4 linked regions of the Alligator mississippiensis genome follow. The protein of the gene in region 1 interacts with the protein of each later gene in a biochemical or structural test. Links are inferred from orthologs where the notes say so. Each region holds a gene or a part of one and is shown on either strand. Other genes may lie near its edges. The genes, in order: PTPN11, tyrosine-protein phosphatase non-receptor type substrate 1, FRS2 and TXNIP.

What was found.
Region 2: the proteins of PTPN11 (region 1) and tyrosine-protein phosphatase non-receptor type substrate 1 form a complex in vitro, tested with the Homo sapiens proteins (2 studies listed by BioGRID). The link is inferred for Alligator mississippiensis from reciprocal best matches to the Homo sapiens genes PTPN11 and SIRPA.
Region 3: the proteins of PTPN11 (region 1) and FRS2 interact in a test that uses a peptide from one of them, tested with the Homo sapiens proteins (2 studies listed by BioGRID, with this or other methods). The link is inferred for Alligator mississippiensis from reciprocal best matches to the Homo sapiens genes PTPN11 and FRS2.
Region 4: the proteins of PTPN11 (region 1) and TXNIP are reported together in a solved structure, tested with the Homo sapiens proteins (2 studies listed by BioGRID, with this or other methods). The link is inferred for Alligator mississippiensis from reciprocal best matches to the Homo sapiens genes PTPN11 and TXNIP.

Annotation. Positions count from the first base shown.
Region 1 is NC_081833.1:3,953,263-3,961,150, reverse strand, and holds the start of PTPN11 (tyrosine-protein phosphatase non-receptor type 11), read right to left. Parts: upstream 3,138-7,888; 5' UTR 3,004-3,137; coding exon 2,990-3,003; intron 1-2,989. Other genes in the region: RPL6 (large ribosomal subunit protein eL6), read left to right, coding at 3,269-3,295, 3,692-3,856, 3,997-4,095, 4,726-4,869, 6,009-6,057, 6,485-6,669, 7,345-7,497. UniProt on the Homo sapiens protein: Acts downstream of various receptor and cytoplasmic protein tyrosine kinases to participate in the signal transduction from the cell surface to the nucleus. Positively regulates MAPK signal transduction pathway. Dephosphorylates GAB1, ARHGAP35 and EGFR.
Region 2 is NC_081832.1:2,105,625-2,112,894, forward strand, and holds the start of tyrosine-protein phosphatase non-receptor type substrate 1, read left to right. Parts: upstream 1-4,102; 5' UTR 4,103-4,257; intron 4,258-4,906; 5' UTR 4,907-5,038; coding exon 5,039-5,120; intron 5,121-7,270. UniProt on the Homo sapiens protein: Immunoglobulin-like cell surface receptor for CD47. Acts as docking protein and induces translocation of PTPN6, PTPN11 and other binding partners from the cytosol to the plasma membrane.
Region 3 is NC_081827.1:69,859,012-69,867,103, reverse strand, and holds the start of FRS2 (fibroblast growth factor receptor substrate 2), read right to left. Parts: upstream 3,267-8,092; 5' UTR 3,132-3,266; intron 1,857-3,131; exon of another isoform or gene 1,703-1,856; intron 1-1,702. UniProt on the Homo sapiens protein: Adapter protein that links activated FGR and NGF receptors to downstream signaling pathways.
Region 4 is NC_081838.1:17,945,260-17,952,785, reverse strand, and holds the start of TXNIP (thioredoxin-interacting protein), read left to right. Parts: upstream 1-4,226; 5' UTR 4,227-4,550; coding exon 4,551-4,800; intron 4,801-5,880; coding exon 5,881-5,953; intron 5,954-6,057; coding exon 6,058-6,205; intron 6,206-6,594; coding exon 6,595-6,697; intron 6,698-6,978; coding exon 6,979-7,235; intron 7,236-7,526. UniProt on the Homo sapiens protein: May act as an oxidative stress mediator by inhibiting thioredoxin activity or by limiting its bioavailability.

The sequences.
Region 1 (7,888 bases):
GATTTTCTCTTACGCTTCCTTTTATAGAGATGGAATGTATTTTAATTTTTTTTTCTGCTTTCCTTTTTCCATCTCTGATCTAAGCACACACAAGAGTTATTCCCAGCAAAAGACTGAGAGCCTATAATGCAACCAAAAAAGTAATGTATAGAAGCATAGTCTAATTAAACCATCAATCCTCACTGTGGGCATAATGTTTCCCAAAGCTATTTGGATTTAATAGATTCTGCCATGCAGCACTCTGCATCACTTGGCATTTCAAAATAAGGCAAAGCTATTAATGCAAAAAGGTAACCAACGAGACTGTCACTCCTCATTTACAAAGGGAATGGGGATATCAGAGAAGAGGGCCTTCACCCTCCTACCCTCCCAAGAGAATCATGTGCGCAGCAGGGAACATGCTCTTGCTTCAGATAAATTCTCAATCACTAAGACGTGACTGTACAAAACGTCTATTTGCAGAACTGCCATGTTTGAGGACATTCTTCAATCATGTGCTATATTAACTGCACGTTTCTGTTTTCTTATTAGAATTGGAATAATCGGTACCTGTAGTGGGGAGAAACAAACGGCATTATTTTCCCGCTTGAAAAGAGAAACAAACCAAAAAAAAAATCAATACACTTTTCCATTTTGCGACAAGGCAAACAAATTGGATCTCCCTTTTTGACTGCAGTACTGATAAAATCACTTCTAAGCCTTGGCTGCCACAAGTGGAGCTATCAGGAGGTGGTGACTTTTAATGTAATTAATCCTATTTATAGGCTCGCCCTCTACCTGCATTATCTTTGCCCATTCTTTTTCATGAGCAATTTCCAATTTAAACTTCCGCACTCACAAGCCAGAAAACAAACACATACTTTTAAGAAGTGCTCAACTAACCTAAGCAGCTATATTTGCAAGGATGGGTAGAGGAGAATACAAAAACTCACTATAAACAAACACCGAAGAACCCACACACGGGTGATTCTTAACCTTTTTAGATGCAAAGCTCCCCTCAGAAAGTGAAAATTACAGAAAAATAACAGCAATTCTTCTGTTAAAAAGAATTTCATAGTATTAAAAAAAACTTTCTGACTTGCTGTGGTCTTTCTTTTGAAAGCTCTGGGTTTATCTTGCACATTGTGCTTGCACAGCTAAGTGTGTGGCACCCCATAGCACCCCTGAAAGGATCCCAAGCCACCCCAGAGCACCATGGCATCCCAGCTGAGAATCACTGCCACACACGTGCACCTCTTCCTTCCTAACATAACACCAACTACAGAGGTGGTTCTCATCCTTTCTGGACTAGAGGCACCCCTCCTCACTAGACTCAAGGCCCCTCTCCACCACTTTTGTGAACACAGTAGCACAGATTACAGGCTTGCCTCCTTGCAGAGAGGCTGGGCAGTGGTGACAGGATATTATCCAGGCAGGGACAAGCCTGAGCCTGCACTTATCTGCTTAGTTTCGCCGCTTCTCTCCTCAAAGCACCCTTCAAAAGTTCTGGTAGCGCCTCAGGGTGCCCCGGTTGAAAAATCACAGTGCTAGGGGATAGGAGAAGGGTGAATGAAACCGAGCCATCCAGTTTCACCCTCCCGAGCTCAACAACCAGAACAAACTGAATCCAAAAAGGAAAACACGGCCAAGGACCAGAATAAGAGGAGTAAAAGAAAAGGCTGTCCATTAAGTGCACTATCGCTCTCATCATGGGGCCACGAGTTCAGGGGCTGCAGATGAATGCGTCAGAGAGAGGGAGACGAGGTTCTCTGGGTAAATCCGATATCTTTTATTAGATCAACTCAAATAGCTGTAAAAATCCTTCTTTTCAAGCTTTCGGGTATAAATACTCTTTCACCAGGCTGAGGAAGCATCTGCAGTTGGTGTGCACTCTTCCTGGGTGGAATGGCTACAGGGAGGATTTCCAAGGCCCCTGGTACACATTACATATCTTGCGCAATAAACCCAGATGGGCCACCTGTGCAAGATAACGATCACGCCATAAAAAGGATTCTCCAGCTCTCAAAAGAGCCAGCCAGCTACAAAGCCAGGGCTTGAAAACGTGGAACAACTCAGTGGCCCCTGCTACAAATTAAGCAGATTACACAATTAACTGGTTAACTGCACAAGAAACATAAGCCGGCCGCACATACAAAGGAAGACGGCCTACTAGTGCGTGCGAAGGAATTATCACACCATTCACTGGTGAATCGCACGATACATTCACACCGGCCACACATGCAAAGTGATGATCATGCAACGTGCCAATAAATTCACACCAGCCACCCACACGAAGTCACAATCGCACAATTCACTGGTGCGGCACGCAATAAATTCAGTCCAGCCCCCACGCAAAGTTGCGATCACACAACTGACTGGTAAAATGCGCAATAAATTCAGACTGACCATCCACGTGAAGGCGCAATCACACCATTCGCTGATGATTCGTACAACAAATTCGTACCAGCCACCCGTGCAAAGTCACATTTGCACAACTGCCTGGTGAACTGCGCAATAAACTCCCACCAGCCACCCACGTGAAGTCACACACACACAACTGTCTAGCGAAAGGTGCAATAAATGCAGCTGTCCCCTCCATGAGAAGTCACGACTGAACGATTCACTGCCGAATCGCGCAATAAATGCAGCCCAAGCCCCCGTGCGAAGTCACGACTGCACAATTTGCTGCCAAGTCGCGCAATAAATGCAGCCGGGGCACCCGTGTGAAGGCAGGATGGCACGACTCACCGGTGAACTGTGCCCCTGGCCACTTGTGCCAAGTCACCATCACTCCACGGACTGGAGCGCGCAATAAATGCGCACCGGGGAAGCGCGCCATAAAGGGGCCCGATCCCGCCCGGAAGGACTCTCCAGCCCCACAGGGAAGGCGCTGCCCCTCTCCCCCCCCCGAGGCAGGGGCCGCCCCGTCCTTGAGGGGGGGGCCAGGTCCCCTCATCGCGGGGGGAGGGGCGGGGAAGCGGGGGGGGGAGGGGCCCGGCTCCCGCCTCACCTCCGCGATGTCATCTTCCCGCGGCTTGGGCCCGCCACAGGGCCGCGCCCCTGCCGGCCTCCCCCCGCAGCGGGCCGCGGCCGACGGGGCCCTGAGGGGAGCGTGCACGGCCGCCGCCTCCAGGCCCCAGAGGCGCGGCGCGGCCAGCAACGTCATCAAACAGCGACCTCTTCCTCCCCCCCCACCCGCGCTTGAGAGACGCAGGACTACATCTCCCGGCCTGCCCCGGGGCGGGCGCGGTGGCGTCACGCGCCGCGCTCTTTAGCGCCGGGTGCCCGGATGTCCACCCCTTTTCCTTCTCGGAAGGTGAGGATGGCGGAGCCGGGCTGGGCGGCGCTGCGGGCCATCCGCCGCCATCCGCCTCCGGGGGGCGCTGCCGGGGCCCGGGGGGATGCTGGCGGGCTCCGGGGGGGCGCGATGCGGGGCGGGCAGCGGCCGGGCATAGCTGATCCCGGCGGCCGGAGCAGGAGGGCCTGCATCTTCCCTTCCCCGGCCCGGCCCCGGCTCCTCCATCCGGGCATGCTCGCTGCTTGTCTTCCCGGCCTGTGCAAGGCAGTCAGCAGCCCTGGGCTGCTCCTTTCCGGTCTCCGCCTGTACAGGGGTTCCCGTGGGGTTTCTTGAACCACGGCTCCTCTTCTCTTTTTCTTGGCTGCTCTGCCCATCCACGTGCTGTAACTGATGCTGTGCCCTCCTATTGGCTAGATGGCAGGCGAGAAGGCGGCAGGTGAGAAGAAGGCTAAGAAGCCCCGGAAGCACCATGCCAGCCGCAACCCTGTGCTGGCCCGAGGGATCGGGAAATACTCCCGGTCAGCCATGTACGCCCGGAAAGCGATGTACAAGCGCAAGTACACGGCCCCAGAAACAAAGGTATATGGAAAACAAGCTGTCTGTGCGTTCATTTGTTCTGGCAGACGAGGTTCTTTAGGTGAATGTGATGATCTTTCATTAGCCCTACTCATTAACTTGTTCTGATTCTTAACCCGTTCCTTTGTTGTCTTCTTGTGCAGATAGAAAAGAAAAAGAAAGAAAAAGCAGCTGCTACCATCACCAAACCAGTTGGTGGAGATAAGAATGGAGGCAACCGGGTGGTGAAAGTCCGTAAAATGGTAAGGTTACCCCCCACCCCCCAAAAAAAGATGTCAGATAAATAGAGGTTTGCTCTTGCTGAACACTGAGTTGCGTTGATGAAAAGGAAGAGATTTTGGCCCTTTATGTTTTGGGAAGTGCATTCAGTACTGATTTTACGTTGCTCTCCTATGAGACTGCAGTCTTGCAGCCCTCAGCAGACACTGTCTGGGCGCTAGTGTTGAGTTCTGTCGTAGGTATGTTCTCAATCTAGTGACGTATTGCTGTCTTCAGTGAAGCATGTGTGGGAGACCCCCTTCCCCACACACATACACGCACATCTTATTTGAGATGATGCGTGTACTCTCTGAATTGACGTGTCTGAAGAAGGTGCACGTACCCCGTACGTACTGAATTAGAAGCACAATCACAAATATCTTTGCATTTTGTGTGACCTGCTGGGTACATGATGCAAAATGTGTGCCTTTAAAGTGCCAACTTCCTTAAAATACTAGCCTGCAGCAAAGAGAACCTTGCGGGGGGAAAACAAGTCTCTCCCAATGAAATGAAAGGGAGTATCTGTAAAAGGGGAAAGACCACAATTTGAATGAAATTATTTTATAAAGAGGCTGGAATATTTCAGTTCATATTTTGTCGTGTGTTCCCTCTAGCCAAGATACTATCCAACTGAAGACGTTCCTCGTAAGCTCTTGAGTCATGGCAAAAAGCCCTTCTGCCAACACAAGAGGAAACTGCGGGGTAGCATTAATCCAGGAACCGTTCTGATTCTTCTCACTGGTCGCCACAGAGGCAAGGTAAATGGGAAACTTTTTACAAACACTTCTATGCTGTGTTTGCACTTCATTATATTGATTGCTCGGTTATTATTCCCTTCCTCCTCAACACGTTAAAATAAAGTCAGGGTCATCGCCAGTTGTGTGGTTCAGTGTGTGCAATTTCATTTTACGCATATTGTTTTCTGCTGTCTTGCTTTATCTGGACAGTACCCCTCTTTGGTCCTTTGGGAGGCTTCAAGAACAAGACTGTACTGTACGTGGTCAGAATGAATTAGGAGAAAAAAAAAAGGAATGACTGGGCAAGTTACCTAGACACTATTAAAGGGACGTTCCCATACTCTACAAATGATACGGAGTCATGGGTCAGACTTGCGTATCAAGAGTAATATAATATTAATTACCATATACTATTCGTTGCCATTTCTGACTAGGAAAAGGAAGACCCAACATTTAAACTATTGCAAAACAAAATAAAGCAACGTGCATTCTGGATAACGAATTGCAAAGGAAAGCTATAAATCAATACTTTTAATATCACTGTAGCAAACCAAACATCAAAAGACAAATTGGTATCAACACTTATTTTCTTTATCCTAAGAAAAGCATCTTTGGGTAACTGACACTTTAGAACAGAATTTCTAGTTAGACCTTTCACTGCCCTGCTTGCATTTTTTGCTTGTATCTAGTCAAACGCACATGGTCATAAAAAGAGGCTATTTGGGGGGAGTATTCATTGAAACCTGAGCCACGTGGTGCAAAGCTGGTGCTGCTTCACCTTTCTACGGAAAGTTTCTCCCCCTCTAATTTTTTCACACGCACTGCTCGTTACAGAAAATTCAGTCAGTAAAAGTGCTGTCTGGGCAAGGGTGTCAAGATGACTGACTGACTGACTTCTGTCTGCTGGGAGAGGCTCTAATGTGAATGCAGTTAGATTGGCAAAATTATGCTTTATCAGTATAGCTTGTTTTGGCTCCTGGGGGATGTGTCTTTTTTACTGTCCTGGCAGAAAGTATAATTCAAGTAGTGTAGATACGGTTCTACTTTTTAGGTTGTGATATATCAATGATATATATTTAAATATAGATAGATATTAAACTCTGTAAACAGTCCTTAATGCTGCAAGGCTAAGACTAATGCCCTCTTGTATCCATTTCCAGCGTGTGATCTTCCTGAAGCAGCTTGCTAGTGGCCTGTTGCTTGTAACAGGTAAGCAACTTTTTCACTGAAATCTCTTTTAAATTTTTAGTTTTAATCTCCCTGTGACATTTGACTACATCATGCATCTCTGAGGCAGTCTGAGTATCACAATGGGCATTACATGGCATGGAATTGCTTATGTAGAAATATATACCTTTCCAGGAAAATTAATTCACTTACGTTTTAATATCTGGAAACACTAGCAAGATAAGAAAAAGCTTTTAGTGTTGTAAAGCATGAAGAAAGGGTGTCCTAATTTGTGTTTTGTTGTTTTTTTTAATGAGGCTTAGTACTCTCCTCTGCAAGAAATATATGCTTTATACCTGAATGTTATTCCATGAGGGAAACTTAGTTTCCTTAGAGCACAGATAGCTGCAATCTCAGAAATGAAATGCTGCTCTTGTAACTCACTTGGATTTTTTTTGTCTGCCGCTAGGACCCTTGGCTATCAATCGTGTCCCTCTGCGCAGGACTCACCAGAAGTTCGTTATTGCCACTTCCACCAAGGTTGACATCACAGGGGTGAAAATTCCAAAGCATCTCAGTGATGTGTACTTCAAGAAGAAGAGGTTGCGTAAGCCCAAGCATCAGGAAGGCGAGATCTTTGACACTGAAAAGGAGGTAAGGCTCTTCAGTGACCTCTTTATAGTAGGGATGCAAGGAGTGGGTTGGGACAGTCTTCCTCTAGAAGCATATTTTTAATGCTACCTTTTCAAAAAGAACTTAAAAAGCATAGAAGGCCAAATCGGTTTAACCTCATATGGGAACCTTGATAGCAACACTTGAGAATCCACATATTTTAAAATGTGCTGCCTTCAGAATAGCTCCTGCACTGTTAAACAACCAGCAGGAGGCGAACAGCATCTCCTAAGATTGGTGGAGTTGGTCTTGCACATAAAGTTGAGTTGTGAAATCTCCCTCTCAATATGCTCTCCATTGATTTCCTGTCTATGGAAGGTATTCTATTTATTGTGGTGTTAGGGACTCTATTTGCACTGTAGTTTGAGCTGGTAATTTAATCTAGCTCTAGCTGTTGAGCTGTTCTTTATTCTTTGAGGGGGAAAAATATAGATAGATATAGAGGGAAAGAGAGACTGTGTAAAACATCACAGTGCTGTCTATTCCTTGTGGCTCAAAAGGAATGACCCTTTTTTCAGCTCCTGAAGATGGAGTGCTGAGAAGCTTACCCAGCTAAAAACCTTGGCATGGCAGGGAAATGGCCCTTGTGAAGAAGTTCTGCAGGAATAACAGACTGAAATCTGTGGGGTATTCTAACTTTAGTCTTCTCTTTCTTAGAAATACGAGATAACAGAACAACGCAAAGCAGATCAGAAGACAGTGGACTCACAGCTTCTACCAATAATCAAAAAGGTGCCTCAGCTCCGTGGCTACCTGCGTTCTACATTCTCCCTCTCAAATGGAGTTTATCCTCACAAATTGGTGTTCTAAATATTTTAAAGGCATGACATTAATATTAAAGTTTGTGGGGGAAAAAACAAGGCTCTGCACCTGATTCCAGCTAGTTATCTTTGTAATTAAATACATTCCTCAGAGCAGTGGGGGCCAACCTTCGTGGCAGGCATGTCACAATTAAGCTCCACACCCGCCCTGCATGTCACTCCAGTCCTCTTCCCCCTGCCTGATCTGCTGCTTTCCTTTCTGTTCCCTGCATTATCTGCCACCACTTTGCCTGCCCCCTCCCCAGTGTATGTGCCACTAGTTGCCACCCTGGTTTAGACCTCTTCATGAAGTAAAAAAACCTGGTTTGAAATTGGGTGTTTTATGCATTGTGGCATAGGATTCCAAATGGACGGAGCTGCCTGTATGATGTGCAATAGTT
Region 2 (7,270 bases), on another chromosome or scaffold:
AAGAGCCGGAGGCAGGAGGTGAGGGGGCTGCAGGGACTCGGGGAGGATCGGACTAAGGGTAGGGAGCGCGTTCCTCTGGTGTGTGGCTGCCCCCGGGCTCAGCTTTTCCCATTAGCCGGGTAGGCGTCCTGCCCAGAAATCTGCTCCTGCATCAGGGACGTGGAGTACCGGCTGGGATCACGGGACAAATGCTAGCACGTACCAGGGCACAGGCAAAGCACTTCAGTCTGCAAAGGCAGCTGCCAGGCTGGGGGCAGAGCTGGACGCAGCCTGCAGCTGGGTTTTGAACGGTGCCGACCTGAGTGCACAGTGCCCAGGACTCATACGGGACATCCCACAGCCAAGCTAAACAAGTGGCCTCAACCCACCTCTCTCAACGAGGGATGCCGGCACTGCCTGCCTCTCTCAGGCCTCGAGCTGACGTTCATACCCTGCCGAGGCAACAGAAGATCTTTGTTTCCCCTGTACGGACAGCATGGGTGAAGGGAAATACCCTTTGCTCGTGGAGCAGGTGAAGGGGGTGCATCCCCTTAGGGAAGACGGCGGTCACATGCACGCACCCATTCAAGACCGAGTCATGAACAAACTGGCTGAGACCTGGGGCTGGGCTGCAAGATGGGAACATGGCACCACAGAGAAGAGGGATCTTCCCAGGCCCCAGCCGTGCTTCTGCATCGCTGCACATAACGCTGAGCCCTGGAAGGGAAGCCAGGGCTGGCCATTTAGCTGAGGCTACTGGAAAGAGACTCCAAGGGCCTGCAGCCTGTCCAGCAACCAACCCAGAGGGTCTCCCAGCCGCATCCCTCGTGCTTCCCCGAGAGCAGGATGGAGAGTGCTTCCGGCACGGCCGGCCCCACTCAGCAGTGAAAGCAAATCTGTTCCTGACAAGCTCTCCTGGGAGCTTCCCCTTCCTCAGCCCAGGCGCGACTGCAAGTTACTTATGACTGCACTTGGCAGAGCAGCTCCGGACGCACCGAGCCTGGCCAGGACCCGCCGAGAGGGTGCAAACACCCAGCCCCTTTGCTGCATGACTTCTGAACCCACCTGGAAGAGCTGCAGAGGTGAAGGCAAACCTGGGCCCAGCCCTCCGTGCCGCTCTCTCAGCTGAAGTGGCAATTGCAGGTTAAATAAAGAAGCAGCAGCTAAAGTTTCTGAGCGAAGCCTGGCTGCCCAATAATAGTATTTAGAGTCTGGCAGTACTACCCTTCCCCTGATGAATAGCACAGCAAGCCTCCTGTTCGCTGTGGGTGTTTGATTCTGAAGGAAACTACTAATTATGGCATTATGCCTTCTGAAAGGCTCCCAGCTCTTGCGCTCCCGCGCGGGCGCCCAACATCGGGGGGGGAACGGCACTCTCATCTCAGGCAGGTCCTTATTAACCTGCAGCCCCTACCACTGCGTCAGGGCCCCCCTCGAGGGGCAGGTCCCGGAAGACCCGGCACTCTTGGACAGGGACTTTCTGGAGGGAGGACAGCTGATCGTCTGCCTCTTCCAGGGGAGCAACACCGGCTGATTCCCATGCACAACTCATGCTTCCACCTGCGGGCCTTCGCCCTGCTTTCTTCCCCCCCGCCGTGCTCAGTATCTTTCCTTCTTCGCCGCTCTGTAGCTGCTGTCTGCCAGCATGGCATCTCCGCCTCATAAGCGCCTTCAAACAGGTTGTCTAAGCCGTCGGCGCAGGGCGGGAGAGCAGCCCAGGCATGCCCGAGTGGCACGGGCCTCCCGGCATTTTGACTCCCATTAAAAATAACCACGAGGCTGCAGACAGCTGGACGTGCCTCCCTGCGTCCCTGTGGAAAGAGGAGCCCTGCATCCTGCGTGGGCAGCAGAGCAGCTGCTCTGAAGTCGGACCTGCATGGAGAGGGGGAATGAAGGCAGTTGCAGGGAGCCCACGCGGACCCCACCTTCCCACTGCTCTGCAAGGGAGCATTTCCAGCACAGCCCTGGGACCGCCTGCCTTGAAACAGGGCCTGAACATGGGACCAAATGGGCCTGAATGTAGGAGCAAATGACTGATTGCAATGGAGCTCCACCCTGGGGCCAAATGGCTCTCACAGGCTCACGAACCGAACACTGCTCACTTGTGCACAAGTCAAAATGGGAGCAGCGAACGGCTGCCTCGGTGGGTGGCGGTGGCCTTGGCTGGATGCAGGCTGGAAATCTGCAATCGCGGGGTGATGGCAGCAGCCAGGAGCCCCTCGTGCAGCCTGGGGCTCTGTGGAGAGGGGCACCGCGCCAACAGGCAGCAAGACGTGCGGTCCCTCTGGTCCTGGCCTGGCTCCGCCGGCAAACTCAATTAAGGCTGGATGCAACATGTGGGTGTTGCAAACAATAGGGCAGAGGAGGCTTGCAGCAATAAGCACACAAATTTGTATGGGCTGACAATACACACAGCTTGATGGCTCCAAATCACTCGAGATGCCTTTGCTATTTGTTGATGATAAGATATAAATACAGGGAATGGCATCGGCGCTGGCGCATCTTCCCTGGGGTGGAGTGTTGTGGTGAGCAGGGGCGAAGGCAGGCAGCAAGCCAGAAAAGCTCTCCAGAGCACGGGAACAGCTCTTGGTCTACTTGGTGCCCACCCACCTGCCCGCCTGGCCTCGGACAGTCCTTGCCCAGCAGGAGCATAACGGCCAGCTTGCCCTAGGACGAACCTGGGAGTTCCTCTTGTTCGCATATGCAGCAAAAGCAGAAATGACTGCCCAGTTGGACTTTCCCACCTCGGTGGAAGCTGCTTACTCAGCCCCTGTGGGCAGAGGGACCCTGCGGTTGCTTCCCTAAGCGAGCTGTGAGCACACCAGCCCGTGTGTCTACAACAGCAAAGATCTAGCAGCCGTGCAGGCTGCGGCCCATCCCCGATGCCCCCGTCCTCGACTACGAAGGGGGCTGGTGCTGAAGCTTGCTCATGGCTAGCTCGCTCTATGGCCCTGCAGTTAGCTAGATGGTAGTATGGCCATACTCGTGGGCTGTACAGACACCGCCTGCGACTGCTGTGCTGCACGCTCCCCCCATCGTGTGCAGTCACCAGGTAGAGCAGAGGCAGGGAGCAGGTCCCGCAGCTTCATGCCACCAGCTCCACACGCCTGGGCCCGCAGCAAGTTCCTGCCGGAAGGAGCCCACAGATCCTTGCCTGGCTCCAGTACAAGTGCCTGCGCTGCTCGCCCCTTTTAAGAGATGCCAGAAGGAAGGCCTGGGCCTGAGTGGGTTGTGGCGGGGCTACACCTGCCTCTGGTCCTCAGACACAGTGCGTGTGTGCATGGGGAGGCGAGGCACTGGGACACTTGCAGATCTCAGTCTTGGGCCTCCCAGGCAGCTGCAAACAGGACCTTGTCCCCTCCCCTCCTCAGTTTCTACTCCAGCATCTCATCCCCGGCTTCTCCCACCTCCACGCTCTTCCTGCCGTGCACGACCTCCCGGGGGGTTTCCCCTTAGCTCATGACGAGCATCATGTCGCAAGGTGCCAGGCCGGGGATGCTGCTTGTGCATTTCCCCCGCGGTCTTTTGTGCTCTCACCTGGGACGAAGCGGGGGGCACTTGCACGCGTGCTCCCGGGAACAGCGGGTGCAGAGTTTGTGGCCTGGCTGGCTGGGACAAGGCACGGGTATGCCGGAGAGAGGGGCGCTGAGCAGCTGGGCATGGGGGAAGCGAGAAGACCGGGTGCTGGGGGGGAGCAGAGCCCCTCCCTCCAGCCTGGGTCACCGTGCCCACAGCAGGATGCAGAGAGAAGGTGCGAGGCCACCCTCTTTGGGTGAAACCCTTGCTGCTTTTCCAGCCCTAGCAGCCACCAAGCCCGCGGTGCGTGCAGCAGAGCAGAGCAGGGCAGCGCCCGGGGCCGCGCGCGAGGCAGTGGCAGGGAGGGTCAGGGCTGCCTTCTCCCCGCCTCTCCCTGCCGGCGCAGAGGAGCGGGCTGGCTGCGGGAACTGCTCGGGGCCACCTTAAGAGCCGCGCTGGCCGGGGCGGGCGGCCGGGATGACCTTAGCGCAGAACAAGTTTGCTCCGAGCCTGGCACTGGCAGCGCCCGCCGGCACCAGCGCCCCGCAGCCCGCAGCCCGCAGCCCGAGCCCGGCCCCCGCCAGGCGGGGCGGGGCGGGGCGGGGCGGGAGGGAGGCTGGTCCACGCGGGGAAGCGGCCCCTCCACGCGGCGCTAGGCAACGCGCAGGGGGCGGCGCGGAGCCCGCATCGCCGCGGCTGCGGGAGCGCACAGAGCCGGGAGCCGCGGCCGCAGCACGGGCAGCCCCGCACCGCCCCGGCCGGGTGAGACGCGGGCGGCCACCCCGCTCGGCTTTGGGCATCCCAAGCTGGCCCCGGGCTGCCGCATTGCCCCCCCGCCCGCCGGGACACCCCGGCTGGGAAGGGGCCATGGATGGGGAGCCAGGGGGTGCATCGCCACCGGTGCCTGGGGACCCTAGGAAGGGGTTGCTGGGTGGGGAGCCAGGGGGTGCATTGCCACCGGTGCCTGGGGACCCCTAGGAAGGGGTTGCTAGATGGGGAGCCAGGGGGTGCATCGCCACCGGTGCCTGGGGACCCCTAGGAAGGGGTTGCTGGGTGGGGAGCCAGGGGGTGCATTGCCACCAGTGCCTGGGGACCCCCAGGAAGGGGATGCTGGATGGGGAGTGAGGGGGTGCATCGCCACCGGTGCCTGGGGACCCCCAGGAAGGGGTTGCTGGGTGGGGAGCAAAGGGGGTGCATCACCACCAGAGCCTGGGGACCCCTAGGAAGGGGTCAATGGATGGGTAGTGAGGGGGCGCATCGCCACCGGTGCCCATGGCTGGACGGGGAGCGAGGGGGCTCCTCTCCATCCGCCCCCAAGGTTCCAGGTCCCACCCTCGACACGCGTGGGCAGGTCAGTGCAGGGTGCTTGAATCGCGTGCCTTGGTAACACGCGTGTGCTCTGCGCCTGCAGGCTGAGTTGCCCGGCTTTTCTTCCTCATTGCGGGCTGCGGACAGCGTAATTTCCTTCTGCCTCTGACCTTCCCGGAGCAGCACCCAGCCCTTCTGTGCAACTGTTCCCCATCGGCCCTGCCAGCTGCCAGCGATGGAGCCTCTCGCCGCTGCCTCCCGCTGCCCTGTCTGGTGCCTGACCTCTCTCTTCCTCTTCTCCTTGAACAGCTGGGCAGGTAAGTGAGGACTCCCCTGTAGGATCTGCCTCCCCTTCCTGGCAGGAGGGTTTTTGTCTGTAACCTTGAACCTGTCCCTTCCCTCCCTACCCCCTCCTTCCCTGGAGTCTGGCTCCCATCAGCCTCCCGCGATGCAAATCTCTTCCAGCCACTCAACTCGGGTGCACCAAAATACTCCTCTGCACGCTGACCTATAATTACTGCAGCACTACAGCAGGGGCTGGGGAGAGAGCTGGGAATTAAAGGGGCTGGAGATGTCTGGCGTGCCTGGCAGGCTGACGGTGGCAGGAAGCAGGGTGCCAGCCCCAGCCCCCTCAAGGCTGCAGAGCTGCTTTGCAAGTGCCTGGTGCCCGTTTTTGTTCCTCTTTCCCGGTGAGAAGCAGCAAAGGGCATAAGGGGCTGCGGGCAGCAAGGACACAGCCTGAGGTGGTGCAGCCCCGCTGATGTGAGGTGCTTAGCAAGTGAAAACAGAGCGGTTGTGCCCCTCCACTGCCGTGCAACCTGGGGCTCACGGGCAGCCCCACAGGACAGCAGGAGGCGCAGGGAGACCTGCCCTCGGTGCGCTGGGACGTGCATCGCCCCAGCTTGCACGGTTCATGTCATGTTGGTGCAGGTTGCCTTGCTTGGTATCAGTTGTAGGGTTGGTTTTGTGTGGGGGGTGGGGGGGTTTGGTGGGGGGAGGAAGGTGGCAACTAATACCCAGCCCACACACAGCTTGCTGCCCCAGCCAAGCTGTACCCTCTAATTGAGGCACTCATGCTACCCACCTGGTACCTGGGCACCTCCCAGATGCCTGGCTTACACTCCTGCCTAATGATTGAATGGTGCACGGATCTGGAGCGGACACGGTCTCGCTCCTTTTCCTGTCGTTGAGTTCCCTTTTTCCACTCCGCTCTGTCCCTCGGTGTCGGTAACTGTCTCTCCGTTATCAGGAACCGAGTTGTGTGACCACAGTGGACATCAGCACTTTGTTTGCAGCTGGGAAAGGGGCAGTAATTATGCTCTGCTGTAGGGATTAAGCAACCCTGCTCCTCCTGCTCAAGGTCACTGGTGTTCATGCAGGGCTCCCACTTCCCACCCCGATTTGGGCTCAGCTGGGACCAGTGTCAGAGCAGCGTGGCGCGGCTAGGGGGCACCCTGCGGGGGAACACAGCCCCATTTCAACCCCTTGAGTTTGCTCTGGTGCCCTCCAGCAGCATCAGAGGCCAACCTGCCAGGTCCATCCCACCCACCGCTCCCCCTCTCATCCCCAGGCCCAGCCCCTGGGCAGATGTTCCACATCACGCCTTACTGCCCGGATGGGGGGGAGGAGAAGGCATGTGCAAAAGCCAGGCCTGCTCGTTAGGGCTGATCACAAATCACCAATGCTTTATTTTCAGTGGAAAATGGAGCATGGCCAAATGAGAGCTCGAGCTGAAGCAGGTGCTTCTAGCACGGCGTCTCAATTTTCTTTTTTTAGACGGAAAAAAACCAAAACTCCCCGCACTTGAAAGTGCTTCAGGTCCTGGTGGCTGAAACCTTAAATGTTCAGCTTGGAGTTTCTACCTCCCCACCCCCCGCCACTGCAAAAGGAGTTAAAAAAAAAAAAGAAGTCTTTTTGGCAATATTTTTGCAGAATAAAACCCATTCTCTAGCCAGCTGTAACCCTGATCCCTGGGATGGGAAATGCAGGGAATCATCAAGTCTCTAGATTACCAGTCATTTGAATCCTAGGAAGTGCTGAATTCTCAGATGCAGACGCACAAGGCTGGCTCGGTGCTGGTGTCGGGTTTAATGCATGGGCCAACTCTTCTATGCTGCTTGCTCCGTTTACTGCGGTGGGGCTAGAAGGCGCGCACAGCTCTCCTGTGTAGGTCAGAGGGCTGCAACCACATAGCGCCAGAAGAGGAGCAGGGGAAATAATATTATAAAGAAGTTTTCCTACTGCACCAGAGAAGGGCAAACGGCCCATCCTGGGTAAAGCCATCCTCAGACTAGATGCCCCATCTCCACCGAGTGTACTGGACTGGCACGGCTCAACTCCCAGGCCCTTCCATCCAGATCTCCCCAGCAAAGGAGCTTGGGGTCAGCGCTCCCGGGCTGGGCTATAAGCAGCAGGTCTGCTGGTGGCATGGGAGGAGGGGACGATATCTGGGGGAACCGCGTGTGCT
Region 3 (8,092 bases), on another chromosome or scaffold:
TTCATTGATTTCACTAGAACTAAGCCGTGTAAAGTTAAGCACGTTTACAAGAAAAATAGATTTTAAACATTTTTTTTCTGGTCAAGTATTATTAGCAAGCTAATCTTGTCTGAACCTAGTTCTAGAGTTTGTATCAATGACTGCAAAGTGGCAAACAAGAATGAATAGCAGAGCACCTATTTGCACATAACTGAATGTAAGGTAAAACAGGCTAGAGCTATTTAAAGGCTGCTTAACAAATGGACTAGAATAGAATCTGGTTATTGAAAATACTTTTAGACATAACTACACACGCACAAATCATTTTTGAGAAAATGTTGAGAATTTGCTCTTTGTCCAATGCATCTGCCACTTAAGAACTAACATCTATTTTCACTGAGCTCTGAACTTAGTTTTAGTCTTAACTTAGTAAAGGTCATCTCTAGGCACAGCTACTACCCAACAGAATCATTCTAACTTTTATTTGGTTAATTAGCCTTGCTACTCACAGCCAGTGTATTTTATCCACATTTCTTTTATACGATTGATTTCCAGGTAGAACTGACCTAACATTTCTTTCCACCAAGCTAAGCTGAAATTCACAGTCTTGAAGACCATTTGTGGAGAAGTCCCATAAAACAGCAGCAGTTCAAAACAACAAAAATGACCATTTTGTGTACAAAGCTAAACAACATTTATAAAATAAATTCTCCCCTTTATAACACTACCATGGTTTGTTACATGAGTGAGAGATACATACATTGCTATGCAATATTTAAACAATAAGTTTGGAATCTATGCACATCTTTTTTAGAACTATTTTCCATATTATCAGAATCTAGGATTTTTTCAACACATTATAGAATTACTACACTTGAAGAGGCTGCATAGAAAAGATTACAGTCTTTGGTGGATACAAAGAATGGTCAAAATTTAAATTAAGACGCTGAACTGGAAAGAAAGCAAAATCATGGAAGGAAAAATTAAACATATGAATATGGTTACTGGAATACTGTTTTAATAAGCACTTCCAACACATTTTTGACACAGAAGCACATGTTAATCAGGGGGCAATAATCAAATGAAAGGCAAATGAGAAAGGGACTGAATTTAGAGTTTGATGGGTAATTGCTACCAATATAACATGCATTTCCTTTTTAAAAAAGGAGAGAGAAAAGAGTGTTTTCAGTGCAGTGGAAACTGAGGAATATGTATATGGGACTCCACTTCTAGCTAACTTCAGTACTGATATTGGGCACTTTCTGGAACTGAACCTATACATCTTAATAGCAAAACATTTTAATGCACCACGGAACCATACAAAAACCCATATAGCTTTTCCCCTTCTAGAAACTAGACTGCTCAGCTACTAAATTGCATCCAGAAGAATATTAGTGTAAAGAAACTGCCAATATCAAAGCAGCTTGAAATCGACAACTATTCAGGAAAAAAGTGCATGCTTTCTCTTTCATAAATTCACAATGCATCCACACCTTGAATACTGTACCCAGTTTTGGTCTCCACACCTCAAAAAGGGCACAAGAACCAGAGAAGATCCAAAGAAAGACAATACACATGATTAGCAGTCAGGTGGGGTTTCCATAAGAGAAGACATTAAACAGACTAGGCCTATTAAGTTTAGAAGAGAGATGCTTGAGGGAGGACATCAGGGTTTACCAAAATACTAAATGGCAAAGAGAAAGTAGAGAGATTTATTACTCACCCTCTCACAAGACAAGAACTAGGAGGGTCACAAAATGAAACGAGTAGGTAATAAGTTTCAAATGAACAAAAGGAAGCTCTGTTTCATACAGCATGCCATTGAAGCGTGGAATTCACTGCCATGAGATGTTGCGCAAGTTGACAGCTTAGCCAGACTAAAAAAGAGAGAGGATAAACTCTTGGAGGAAACAGTCATCAGTAGCTACTGAGCATGGGAGTCAGGGGTGCAGCCTCTGAATCAGAACTTCCTAGCCCAGCATTTCTCAGCCCATGGGTCAGGACACAAAAGTGGGTCACAAGAATATATGAAAGGGTCAAGAAGAAACTTTAAAAATGGATCAATAATGGATTCGCCTTTAAAGGAGAAAAACATGGGAAACCGTGGCTTTTCCCTTGCAAGCTGGCAGAGCTCCAGCCTGCAAGGGGCTGCTTGGGCCCCCCTGCCCCACACAATGAGGAACTGGGGTCTGGGGGCAGTGGATCAGGAGTGACAAGCACTGGGTTGGGACTAGCCATCAATGTTTACAAATGGGTCCTGGTACAAAAAAGGTTGAGAACCCCTGCCCTAGACCTTAATGCTAGAGGCTGCAAGTGAGAGAGAAACAGTGGGGAAGGAAAAAACCCTGGTCATACCCAGTTTGGTCTGTCAGCATGCACTCTCTGCCACTATGCAACTGGGAAGAAAGGGGGCCAGTTCCTGCCTGAAGCCCAGTGTGACACAAGAGACCAACCAAAAAGGACCTACAGCTTGACCCAGTCAATAGACATCACTTCTCCTGAAGCCTGTCCAGCAGAATAAGAAAGCATTTGAAGAGCACATTCAAAAAGAAGTTGCTAGGGAAAAAATAAAAAGGAATAAAAAAAGTCGCCCAAAAAGAGCTGGTCAGCAGCACAGAGCACCACAGAGGCCAGGCTGATGCCAAGCCTGACTCGTCCTACCTCCTTCCCCACCGCTAAGCACGATGTTGCACTGTGACTAATCACTCAGGCGCCTCACAGGCGCTCCCTGGTCACTGCCACCTGCGGACAAGCCGTGCGAGCACCGCAGCCGCGGGGGGACCTGCAGCACCACTCCCCCAGGACCCTTCAGCCCCAGGGCACCCGCCGCCAAGCGGGTCTGGGGAACCTCCGGGACAGCATCAAGGGGAGGGCGGGACACCAGGACCCTCCCGGCCTCCGTGTGCGCAGACAGGGCGAGGGGGCCCGCTCCTGCCCCTCCAGGCTCCCGGCTCGAGCTGAGCCGGCAGCAAACGCTCCCCAGACCGGGGCTTCTGCTCTCGCCCGTCGCCTCCCGCCAACCGCCCTGGCCGGCTCCGCTCCCGTCGCCCTGCGCGGGCTGCGGCCGCCGGCGCCTCACGGGTGGGGGGCACAGGGGGAGCCCCGGCCCCAGGAGACTGCGAGCCTGCGCACGGGGCCCTCCCGGCACTCACCTCCGCCATGAGCCCGGGCCTGGCCGCGGGGCCGGGCCGGGCTCCGAGTGCCGCCGCCGCTACCAACAGCAACTCCCAACAGCGGCACCAACAGGGCCTCGCTCTGGGCCGGACTCTGCCCGAACTACTTCCGAGGCACCCCCACAACTACTTCCGGGGGCAGCGGGAAAGGGCCAGGGCGGGGAGACACGGCCAAGGGGCCCGAAGCGGCCGGCGCGGGAACAGCCAATAGGAAGGGAGAGCGACTGGGGGGGGGGTGGTGGCTGCCATGACAACCGCGTATGCAAATCGTTCAGTGAGCGCGTTCAGTGACTGGCTGTTCTTTTGCATGGAGTTGGAGCGCGGGGCAGGCACTGCCCGTGCGACCCGGTGCTGCGGGGCAGAGGGGAGCTGTCGAGGGCCTCGGTGCCGGACGGCGTGCCCGCCCGCCCAGGGACACGGAGCTGGCTCTCGCTGCTTCGGCACGCGGATAGGGCACCAGTAGTATCGGTTCTGCGGGCCGAAGTGGTGGCGCCTGGGGCTGGATTGGCCAGCCGCCTTCCACAGCTCCTAAGCCTGCAGAAATAAGTCTAGGCAGCTGCATCAGAGGCCGCGGGGAAGCCAAGGCCATGTCTGGGGCAACCTGGCAAAAGCTGCAGCTGGTTTTACCCAACATGGAGAGAGCAGGGGGGGTGGGTCTCAGGGCCTTTCTCCTTGGCTGACATCCCGCTGTCATTTTAGGCGGTGCTCTGCTATTTCAGCCCCCCCGCCCCCAGTTTCTCACATGATTTCTTATAAAAAGGGAGGTGACAACACTGGCACTAAAAGGAGAAGTGTAAAGAGGTTTGGAAAACTGCAAGAAAGATACAGGGAAGTAGCACACAGCTGCCTCTGGTCCTCATCACAGCATGACCTTTGGGACCTTCCTGCTTTTAAAAAAGTTTAGGACCATGTCTTTCTTGCTTCCTTTCTGTAGGACTGTCCTGTGGTTCTTCAGGTACTGTCTTGTCAGCGTGCTTGTTAACAGGCGAGATGGGTCACTGTCCTCAGGAGTTTGAAATCTAGAACTGCTTATAAGTGTTTGTGAAATTACCTCTTTTGATCCAGTCAGTCAATATTTGGGAACCTGTGGGATGGGTGTTTCCACAAGGAGGAAAAACTGATGGTGGAGTTGTGTATTTTTTGGATGCAGTTCCATATACTTGCAAAAGAATGCGTGCCGTGCCCCAGGACACAAAAGGAATCAAACTTGCCGTAGTTCCTTTGCATCCCATACTGCCCAAAAAGCTCACCTTCATCCTCCTCTCAGGCTGTACTACAATTGCTTCTCTCTTATTCTCTGCCTGACTTTTTTGCTTCCTCCTCTATCTTCTTCAGGTTGCTGACATGCATCTCCACCACACACTACCAAGCCTCTTACACTTTCACTCAGCAACTCGATTCTGCCCGCTTCAATGAAACTTGTTAATGCTCTGAGTTTGGGTCAGTGGTTCCCTCCGTTGCAGCTGTCATACTTTAGAAAGTAGCTCAAGTGTTTCTTGCAAGATGGCTGTCTCACCTGGCTGCTTCAACAAGTTATTCCCCTGCTTTCTACATAACTATCCCACAGCCAGTCACAGAGGTTACAGTTTACCAAGAGAATTAGGCAGATAAGGTTCTTTGGGTGAATCTGATACCTTTTTATTAGACCAGCTTAACTATTTAAGTTGGTCTAATAAAACATAGATTCACCCAAAGAACCTTGCCTGCCTATGTCCTTAGACCAGCACGGCTACAACCTACACCCCTGTATCAAGAGAATTTGCATTCCTGCAAATTAAGGGAAGAGAGGAAACACATATCTTTCAAAGCACACTCATGCTTTATGCAGCCTTTTCATTGCTCTATTAAGGGCAATGTTTGTGATTCGTCTACTAAAAAAGCCAGCAAATTAAGATACCCTTATTATCGTGCTTGTGCCCATGTCAGCATATGGCTGTGAAATCATGGCACTGCAATCTGTCTAACCCCTTGCAAGTTGTCTCTTAGGATTCCTCAAGGGTTGTTGCAGGGGTGAATGGTCTGCTTTGCTAACAGATTATCTCCAGTACAAACAGTGGTGACCACCTTCTATAGATTTACCACTCCAGAGTTCCTTTCAAGCGATACAATAATTTCTTCCAAGATGAACTTAAACTAAAGTAAAAAGCCACCACCATCTCAAGTTCTTTTTGTTTTTGTGGTAATAATGTCCCTGACTTGTAACCACTGGCATCCGTGTCCATTCTGAAGAGGGTTTTGAAAAATGGGTAGGCTAAAATAGGAGCAAGCCATTTTCAACTCCAAAACAGCTAAATCTCACTTTGCTGGCCCCTAAATGGTTTCCCTCTCTCACCCAAGCTATGCGATGGTTTTCCAGTATTGGCAAACCTACAAATTAATCTTGTATAATAGGAGAAGAGAAGTCTACACATCTGAGTGCCTGGGGAGTTGGCTGGTACAGCACAGCTCCAATTTACCTTTTTGTCAGTAGAAATTGCCCCTCCGCCCCTCAGCGATCCCCACCCCTCCACCCACACCAATTATAAACAATGCACATTTTCTTTGGGTTCAGTTTCAAACTGGAAACTGATCATAAACCATCATTTCCCATTTTAAAGGTGTCAGAATGCTTCATTTGGAGGCTTGCCTGCCTCTTACATCTTTCAGCATAATCTAATATACCCACTGCACACCAATGGTTTACAACTCATTGGCTTTGCCTGAACCATATTTGTAAAGGCAATTTCCACCAACTAAATTCATTGAATGTGTTTCCCGACATTTAAGGCAATAGTGTAGCATAAGAACCAGTACAGAATAGAATAAAATAGAATTTATTTCAGTTATAGCTGTAATAAAATCAAGTCAAGTATTAGCACATCCACTGTGTCTGCTAACCACATTTTGCCCCTTTTTAAATAGGTGTACACTTCTCAACTGTAGTCTCCATTTGAGATGAATTAGATCAAATCCTGAGCTACTTATTTCTTCACAATTTTAGTACAGTATATTTGAGACAATATCCACAACCCCCACACAGCATGCCACAAATCCTATAACACATTTTATAACCAGATTCCCGTTATTGTAGTCTAACTGCCCAGATCTTTAAAAAAATCCTATTGGGGCTGATCTTTATACCTCTAAACATTGTGCTTTCATAATTGGGATTGGGTGAGAGGCTTTCACTAGGAAATTCTGACTCTGTCTTGGGGAGCATTATACATATACTTCACCCATCAGTTCCAATAATGTTTCCTCTCATCTTTTGTCTAGCAATGTGTTCCATTCTTCTTGCAATTGTACTGGCTGTATGTGAACATGTGTACTTGTGGTACCTTTGCTTTAAGGTCACACTGGAAAATTTTCTCGCCAAATGTATGCATAACTTTCTTTTAATTTGGCTTTGACCAGGTTGCCTGTTCATTTCCTTGATGAGCCTATAGAAATATAGATGACAAGTGAAATGCTAAGACTAATTACTCCAAGTTGCTATATGAATTAGCATTTAATTGTCTGTACAGAAGCAAATATACAGAAATGCTTAGAGACAGTGTGCTTCCTAATATGCTTTTATAATGGATTACAGAAGATAACTGACAGTAGGAGTCAGAGCTATTAATCAAACATTTGTTATTGAATACATATGGCATCCATTTTTTAATTCCTTCAGAGAGACATTTATATGATACCCCTAATTTCTTTAACCATAATGTGTAGGAATTGAGAATAGGGTGATTTTGCTAATAACCAAGATGAAAGGTCTGCAAGTGGAATTTATGAACTGCCTACCAATTTAATGTTTGAAAATCCTAAACCCTTAAAGAGAACTCCATAGAACTGAAATTAATAAAAGTTAATATCCTTTATACACATGGACCCAGTCATGAATGGTTAAAGTTAGTGAGAGTTTTGCTATTTATTAGAAAAAACATACAAACTACTGCAGTATGGATAAGACACCATTCTATAAAAAAGAGAGTTTAAGAAGAACACTTCTTTTTTATATAATTGCTTTCTCCAGTTGTAATAAACATGCATTTTATATTATTAAATACAAAAGGCAAACCTTTCTAAAGACATGAGAGTATTGTATGTTAACAGTTTTTGAGGAGCTTCTCACCATTTATTTGAACAGTGAAGGATGAAATAGATGTTTTAAAGTCAATGAAAATATTTCCAAAACATAATACAATTAAGTCTGGTTTATCATGAACAATAATTATATGTTACTCACAAAGATTTTTCCACTCAACAGTAGAACTTATGATAAAACCAAATTTTAAGTTCCCTATCCCTTTAATATAATTACATGCTGAGTAGAAATTTCTGTTTTCAGAGGCTCTTATATCAGCAGAAATAATTTCATGTTGAGCAGTACTGAAAATAGCAAAGGGCAATTCTTTTTGACACAAAAACATTCTCTTCCAGCGATATTAATTCCCTCATTCCAAAAATAAAGTATGTGGTTAAAACTCAAACCACGATTATTAGAAGTTGTGTTGAATTTTCCAGAAACATTAAAACAATGCTGGATATTTCCAACTCAGTTTGAAAAAAAATATATATAAAATTTGGTAACTATTCATTTAACTAATGCCCTGATTCTTTAAACAGCCTTGCATGCTTGAGTGATCCATCTACAGTGATCATGTGTTGATATATTCATGAGCTTCAAAGGAAAAGAAAACATGTACATTTTTATGGGGAAACAGCAATGATTTTTTCTAATGCAAAGATTCATTCACAGGCTTAGCAGTATTCTATGAACTAAAACATGTGCATAGGTCTACAAATTACGGTCCAAAGCTTTAAAACAAACCTTTTATTTTTTAATGTAAAGACTTTCACAATTTGAACCAACATTAGCTTATGTTCTATACAGAAGAAATTGCCCGTAGTTTGTAAATGATTTGCCAGTAATAATATAACATCCAAAAAACCAGCTACCTTCAGCAGTG
Region 4 (7,526 bases), on another chromosome or scaffold:
GCTCTTACAATGAGAAATGTCTCATTTCTGTTCATAGGCAGACAAGGTTCCTTGGGTGAATTTGATATCTTTTATTAGACCAACCCAAATGGTTGGAGAATAGTTATTAAGCAAGCTTTCGGGTTCAGAAACCCTTCGTCAGGCTAAGGAAGCTTCAGCAGTTGGTGTGTGCTCTTCCTGTTCAGGAAGGCGAAGCAGAATATGTCTATCTCTGCTATATTTTGAGCCCAGGCAGTCATTGCTCCTAATACCCCATTGCTGGAGAAGAATGGGGCTCTGGGCTGGGCTCTGAATCATCCCAGGGTTTGTGTGATGATGAGGAAAGACAGCCAGGGTCAGTGATGAATAGAAAAGAGATGTCCCTGCAGGAACCAGCTTCCTTTAGGCACTTATCATGTAGTGGTGACAAGAAACAAGCAATGCCACGCATGTGGGGCTTGCAAAACTCAGCTCCCTGCTCATGCTGTGAAAATGTATGTCTTCTGTGCTTCTTTTACTCTCTTACTCCCAGTCCTGTCAGAGGAAGTGGTTTTTTCAGTATTCCTTCTCAACCCCGCCCTGTGCATGACAGTCGAGTTTTGTTCTTGGGCCATTGTGAGTGGCTTGTTAGTCCCCTTCCTGACCTTCCTGGAGGAAACCTTATATGGCTAAAATATATCTCATGGAAACATCATCATCAAAACTCCTTGGAGTTCTGCGCATGGTAACAGCCACTTGCAACCAAGTCACAGGCTGCTTCTAGCAACAGTCAAAGACGGGAGCCACACCATCTGCAGTGAAACAAAGGACACACTGGGTGCATCTACACATGCATTTACTGCGCAGTAATTTACCGCACAGTAAATTACTCCACAGTAAGTGGTTTTTAGGCCAGCGTCTACACACGCAGGCATTACAGAGCAGTAATGCTGTGTGTGGACTGACTTGGGCCTAAAGTTAGTCCCAAGTCCATCTACACACGCAGTGTTAATGCATAGTAAGGCATCTACACATGCCTTACTGTGCAGTAACTAATCGGGCATAAATTTGCTACCTGTATCATGCAGGTAGCAAATTTACACCCGAGTAAGCGTAAGTCACTATAGTTGCTGCGCAGTATAGATGTGCACCTGTACTGTGCAGTGATTTTGGTTACCTAATTACTGTACAGTAATTGTGCACCTGTAGACATGCCCACTGAAGAGACATGCCACTGATTTCTGCCTGTGACACGGACAATAGCTTTTTCTGACTGTGATCAATGTCAAGGTTTTTAGACCAGGTAATAAAGATTTCATGAGTAATCTTGTGCATCCAATCTTGATTATAGTAAGGACTCAGAGCAGCAAGGAGCAGAAAGCAGCTCCAGAGGACCAGGAATAGTATGTGGTTTTGAAATGTGCTTTCAGTGGCTCTATCCCTACTGTGTTTGAGCTGCATTAGCTGATTTGAACCGTGTTCAAAATCAGCTTAGTTAGCAAAGCACAGAGCAGACAGAGCCGTAAAGCACTGTCCAACAGAGGTGTTACCGTAGTCGGGCAGTTTATTGGCACTGATCTCCCTTCAGTGATTTCACTAGGCTTCTGTCTGGCATCTTCTCTTTGGAAATGATGTGATAAACTAACGACTGTATTTTACAAGCCAAAATAGCTTGGTAAAGAAGAAAATGCTAGACTTCCCAAACTATATAGGCCACCTTGAACCTTTGTTATCTGAGAAGCTCTAATATACTGTCCATAATGGAAAACTTTTGAATACAGAGTCCCATCCTGAGATGCTCCCCTACCCGTGTGATAGTGAGGCATCTTCAGTCAGATTAGGGTCAGGGGAGCTAAAGGTCAAAAACAGGTTGGCAGAAAAGCAAGGCTGGACAGGATTCAGTTTTGGGAACGTGCCTTGGATCGCCGCACTGGCTGGCTGCCTGGCCCAGAGTTAAAATGTCCTTTGACATCTGTGGTATGTGCAGTGTCGCAGTCTGAGAGAAAGCAGCAACACACTGCAGTTTTGCAAGGGCCTGACTGTACTGCCAAAAAGCAGTACGTCGTTGGGCCGACACCTGCACTAAAGGGAGCCAAAGAAGCTGGATTTAATGCACTTAAAGGAATGCAGCGTATTCTGATAAGGAACATGGCATTTTATCCAGACCAACAGTCCATCTAATCCCTTATCCTACAGCCTGCCGCTATCCAGCCTATTGGCTATTTATCTCCATATTCCACCACCTGCCAAATTAGATCAGGTCTATGGCCCCCATAGCTCAATATCCCTCTTCTTATCGTACTGATGCAGAGCCCTAGTATGCTTGGCTGACACTAGAGGTTTCAGGAAAAGGTGCAGTCCTTCCTCTATTGGTCGACTGTAATCGCACAGTGCTCTGTCATCAAGAGGAAATTCCTTCTTTAAAAGAGCAGGTGATCAGTTTATGCCCTAACACATGAAGATGGCCAGGGGTGGATACATACACCGAATTGCAGCGTAAGGCAGAAGACAGAAATGCCAGCTTCATTACTGCAATGCACAGACACAGGGGGCAAAAGGCAGCAAAACAGCATAACTATCCTGGTGACTTACGCTACTTCTCCTAGGGAAGGGGCACAAGTTTAGATGCAAAAGGAAGTTTCTTGATTTCCCCTAATCCTGCTCCTAAAATGTGCGTTTTGCTACTTACAACCCATTTTTAACATGGCTTTTTGTGTGAACTCAGTTACTGCGAGAAGAAAACCGCTTTTCAAACTATCCCAAAACGGGCCACAGCGGTTTAGAAACGGGGTGAAAGCCTGGCAAAACCCTGAGAGGTGCTGCGTAGGCAGAACGACATGAGCCCTACATTCGCTCCTTCCCTAAAGGCGGGGGGGAGGTTTTTATTTTGTGCCGAATGTCGCATGAAGCACGTTCTTCAGGGAGCTGGGACCTGATCGGGCAAAAAGCCCATTTCCCAAGGATTCGCCCAGCCCGAGAGCTAAACATCGTGCTCCTAACAAATAAGCAATTGTCTCCTGTTTTTCACATCGCTGCCTTTGATTTCCTGCGCAGCAAGCAGTCACCCTCGTACGGCGCGTGGCAACATGGTGTAACACAAGCAAAGGGCTGGGGGGGAGGGGGGGGACTTGTGCAAATCTCAGATAGTCCCAACGTGATTAAAGGAGAAATGGGGTTTTTTGGAGGGGAAGTCTAGCGATGCCCCTTTTTGCAATCAATGCGGGTGTCCAGGGTGGTATCTTTTGGAGCATGGGGGAGGATTTGGAGTTCAATTGAAGAGTTACAGAGGATTGACCCCCCCCAAATCCAGTCATGGTGTGCGGTATAGATTTGGGGGGACTGACTACCCAGCCCCAGCACTGTGTGAGGGGAGGCCGGGGGGGCAATATGTGTGTGGGGGGATATTATGGGGGGCTATGGGCTGCCATGTAGCATTTGAAGGGAGACGCTGGAGGCCTCAAATGGTGCCTAAACCGCGTGAGGAGCAGAGGGAAAGAGGACCTGCCTTCCCACAGCCACGGTGGAGATAGTGGGGGGCTTCAGACAGCCGGCACAGCGCGTGTAAGGGGGTGGGCCGCCCTCCCGCGCTGGGTGGAAGGGATGGCGCTGAGGGGCTGTCAAACCACCCCTATCGGGGACCCTGCGCCGAGGGGGCTGAGCTATTGGCCTGCATGGAGCCATTGAAGGGAATGGGGGGCTGCGTATTGCACCCCCATAGCAGCTCTGAGGGGCAGGGGGTCTGTACTGCTCCCCCATAGCAGCTATAAGGGAGGGGGGGTGTACTGCTCCCCCCACAGCAGCTGTGAGGGGGAAGGACACGTGATTTTGGGCTGCCTCTATTATCAGTACAGGATTTGGGGGGTCGGGGCTGGGAGCAGCCACCCCCACAGGGGAACCCCTGGCAAGGAACCCCCCCCGTGACGTGACACTCCCGAGTCACAGAAGAAAAGAAAAAAAAAAAAAATCCCCTCACAGCCCAGGAGCCTGATTGGCTCCGAGAGCCTCTCAGCTTCGCCTCTCATTGGCCTCCCGCTGCGTCACTCCGCGCATCACCCCACCCCCTTCAGAACCCTGCATCTCTTCACACACTGTCCACGCTCCGCGGCCGGCGCGCCGATTGGCCGGCGAGCACGTAAACAAGGCAGCGGCAGCCAATGGGAGCGCTGATCACGCGAGCAGCACGCTTCCACGCGCCCTCAGCGTGGCATGGAGGTGATCAACAACCGAAGTGCGGGGAGGCTGAGAGTATAAAAGCGCCGCATCCGGCGCGTCTTGGCGCAAAGCCTGGCAGGCTCCGAGCAGAGCGGAGCTCCTTGCTGCTGAGCTGCGGCCAGAATACCACAGACGGCATCTCTGCTCCCTTCCCTCGGATTCCAGCGCCCAGGCCAAAAACTAAAAAGGGGCTTAATTTTTCAGCCAGCAATCTAAAAAAAAAATAGCTTTTTTCTTTTTTTCTGCACGATTTTTGATACCATTCAATTCCAAGCCCCAGGCTTTTGGGGTTTTTTCCCTTGTATTTTGGCCATTCCAGTTGAGCCTTAGCCCCCTTCCTCTCCTAGTCCCGTCTAAACCAAGCCAACTTTCCTGCCACCATGGTGATGTTCAAGAAGATCAAGACTTTCGAGCTGGTTTTCAGCGAGCCCGGCAAGGTCTACTTCAGCGGGGAGAAAGTGGCCGGCCGTGTGCTGGTGGAAGTGACCGACGTCACCCGAGTCACAGCCATGAAGGTGTTGGCCTGTGGCGTGGCCAAGGTCAACTGGGCCAAGGGCCCCCACCACTGCAAGCAGGAGATGGAGTACCTCCGCTACGAGGACGTCCTGACCCTGGATGACAAACCCACTGGTGAGAACCCGAGACCTAAATAATACGACCTAAATTGTAGGGCTCTTCTGCCCCCAAAAAAGCCTCTTTTTTGCCCAAAAATGCTTTTAAAGCAGGGTTAGATCAAAAATGAAAGGTTGGATTGAGTAATATTGGAGGTGCTGGGGTGTTTTAACACAATAGGATACTTGGCAGCCAAGTAGGGCTTTATCTGTGGTTGTTTTTGGCACTTGGCTCTGCTAGCGGCTCTTTTTTTTACTCCAGTATTTTGAGGTTTTGTGGTTATGTCCTGGCAAAAAGGTCCTAGAAGTATCTTAATGATTCATTTGGACCTGGATAAACTAGCAGAGAGCCTTAGTTGGTCTGCTGTAGGAAGCGTGTCTAAAGTTTGAGACAGAGGAGTAACAAAACTCGGGGGGTGTAGTGACAATTGGGAGATTGCAGCCGGCAGCGAAGACCTTAAAGAGGTTGATGCGGCAGGAGTAGCATCCCCAAAGGATGGGAGCGAATGTTATTGGCAGGGTAGCTGTATTGTGAACAAGCTTCCTGAGCTGCATGGAGAGGCGAAGTAATTACAGTGTGCGAGTACAGTATGCAGGACAGGTGTTACAGCTGGGGAGCCGCTCCTCTCTTGGCACAGGGAGTGATGGGCGCTGTGATTTCCTGGCTCTCTGGCACAGGGAGTTACTCCCGCCCCCGAGGCAGGTTGGAAGAAGGCACAGCTTCCCCGCTTGGCAGGGTTGTGTGTAAAAGAGTGACAGGCAAGACCAGGGATGATGTGAAATGCCTTGGATAGTTTTCCAACTTCTTTATTGGCCCAGATAGAGATTTGCAGTGGATTATTTGGTGGGAGGGAGGATGTAGAGGCCAGCTCTGAGTCCTTACTTAAGAGGATGATTAAGAAGCACGAAAAGATTGCAATGGCAATATAGCAGAAGTTTTTCAGAACGTTTCTAAGTAACAGCATAGATTATACCCAGCACAGCAAACTTTGGCACTTGTGTTGTTTCTGCTGAGACAGGATGTTGTGACAAAGCTGAGAACATGCAGCAAGACTTGAGGTTTTTAACTTCCTCTCTCTTTTTTTTTCCCCCATTGCAGATGAGGATGGCTCTGTGATCTTGAGACCTGGGAACAAATACGAATACAAGTTTGGATTTGAGCTTCCTCAAGGGTAGGTATTGATCAAACACGGCATCAGAAATGCTAGCCTTGTGACAAAATTCCCTCGGTTGTTATTTGTGCGTGTGTTTTTAATGAGCTCCTCTTGTATTGCAGACCCCTTGGTACTACCTTCAAAGGGAAGTACGGCTGTGTAGATTACTGGGTGAAGGCTTTCTTGGAGCGCCCATCAGTCCCACCTCAGGAGACAAAGAAGCATTTTGAGGTCCAGGACCCTGTTGACATCAACACTCCAGATCTACTGGTAATTGTTATATTCTTGGGTGTTGTTGGGGCAATGGTGGGGCTGTTTGCTAGAGGTGGTTCAGAGGGATATTTGCTATGTATGTAAATTTTACAGTTCCAGGGCAGATTAAGTATTGTCTCCTAAGGAGATGAGTGCTCCATATTGCTCAAAGCCCTAATGGAAGTCTAGGTTAGTTGTTTGAGATGGGTTACCTTTCTCTTGAGCTATGTACATCAGTGAGTGTCCATGAAACAGGACACTGGAATCTACCTGGAGATGCAAATTAAACCGCATGGAATACAAAATGTTATGGCAGCAGTCTGGCAGGATATGGACAGGATAGAATAGGGCGCACACAACAGGCTGTCTTCATTTGTTGTAACCAAATCCCTCTGAATCTTTTCCAGTCTCCCGTCTCTGCCAAGAAGGAGAAGAAGGTGTCCTGCATGTTCTTTCCTGATGGCCATGTGTCTGTCAGTGCCAGGATTGACAGGAAGGGGTTCTGCGAAGGTGAGCCTGGCTTCCCAGGAGGACTGGGAGATGAGGGGGCTGAATGGGACAGTGCTTGAAAAGAGCATTGCTCTGAGCAAGAGGGGAGGAGAAGGGCATGACATTGAACCATGTGATACTACTGAGCAAGGGAAGTGGGCTGTGAATCAGAGAAACTTCCCAATTAGATTGGGCTTCTCTGCTTTAACCAGTGTAGACTTCGCCATGAATAAGCTGTAAGAGAATCATCTCCACCGTGGGTAAGACCTTCCCTGTAACTAAACAATCCTGTCTTCTTTCAGGGGATGAAATCTGCATCAATGCAGACTTTGAGAACACATGCTCCCGCATCGTGGTACCCAAGGCAGCCATCGTTTCCAAGCACACCTACCTAGCAAATGGCGAGACCAAAGTTTTCGTTCAGAAACTCTCCTGTGTGCGTGGCAACCACATCATCTCGGGCATGTCTGACACCTGGCGGGGCAAAACAATCCGTGTCAGGAAGATCAAACCCTCTATCCTGGGCTGCAACATCTTGCGCGTGGAGTACTTCCTGCAGGTAAGGGTCGTGGGTACTGAAGGATCTCTCTTCCACACCAGGCCCATCATCGGGGAACATAGCATGTGCAGTTGTCCTGCCAGGGACCCCTCTCCTCCCTTAGATTTGCTCTTTGGAGTTTCTTTCAGGGCTTTGATACCTGCAGTGGTCTCACAAGCCAGTGGAATAGACATGGCATTGCACTAAATTTACAGTTTAGCCATGTCACTCCCTTTCCATTAGGAATCTTATACAGGCTTTAATGCAACAGAGGAAGGGTGATGTCATTCCTAACCATCTCTTCATCTCATT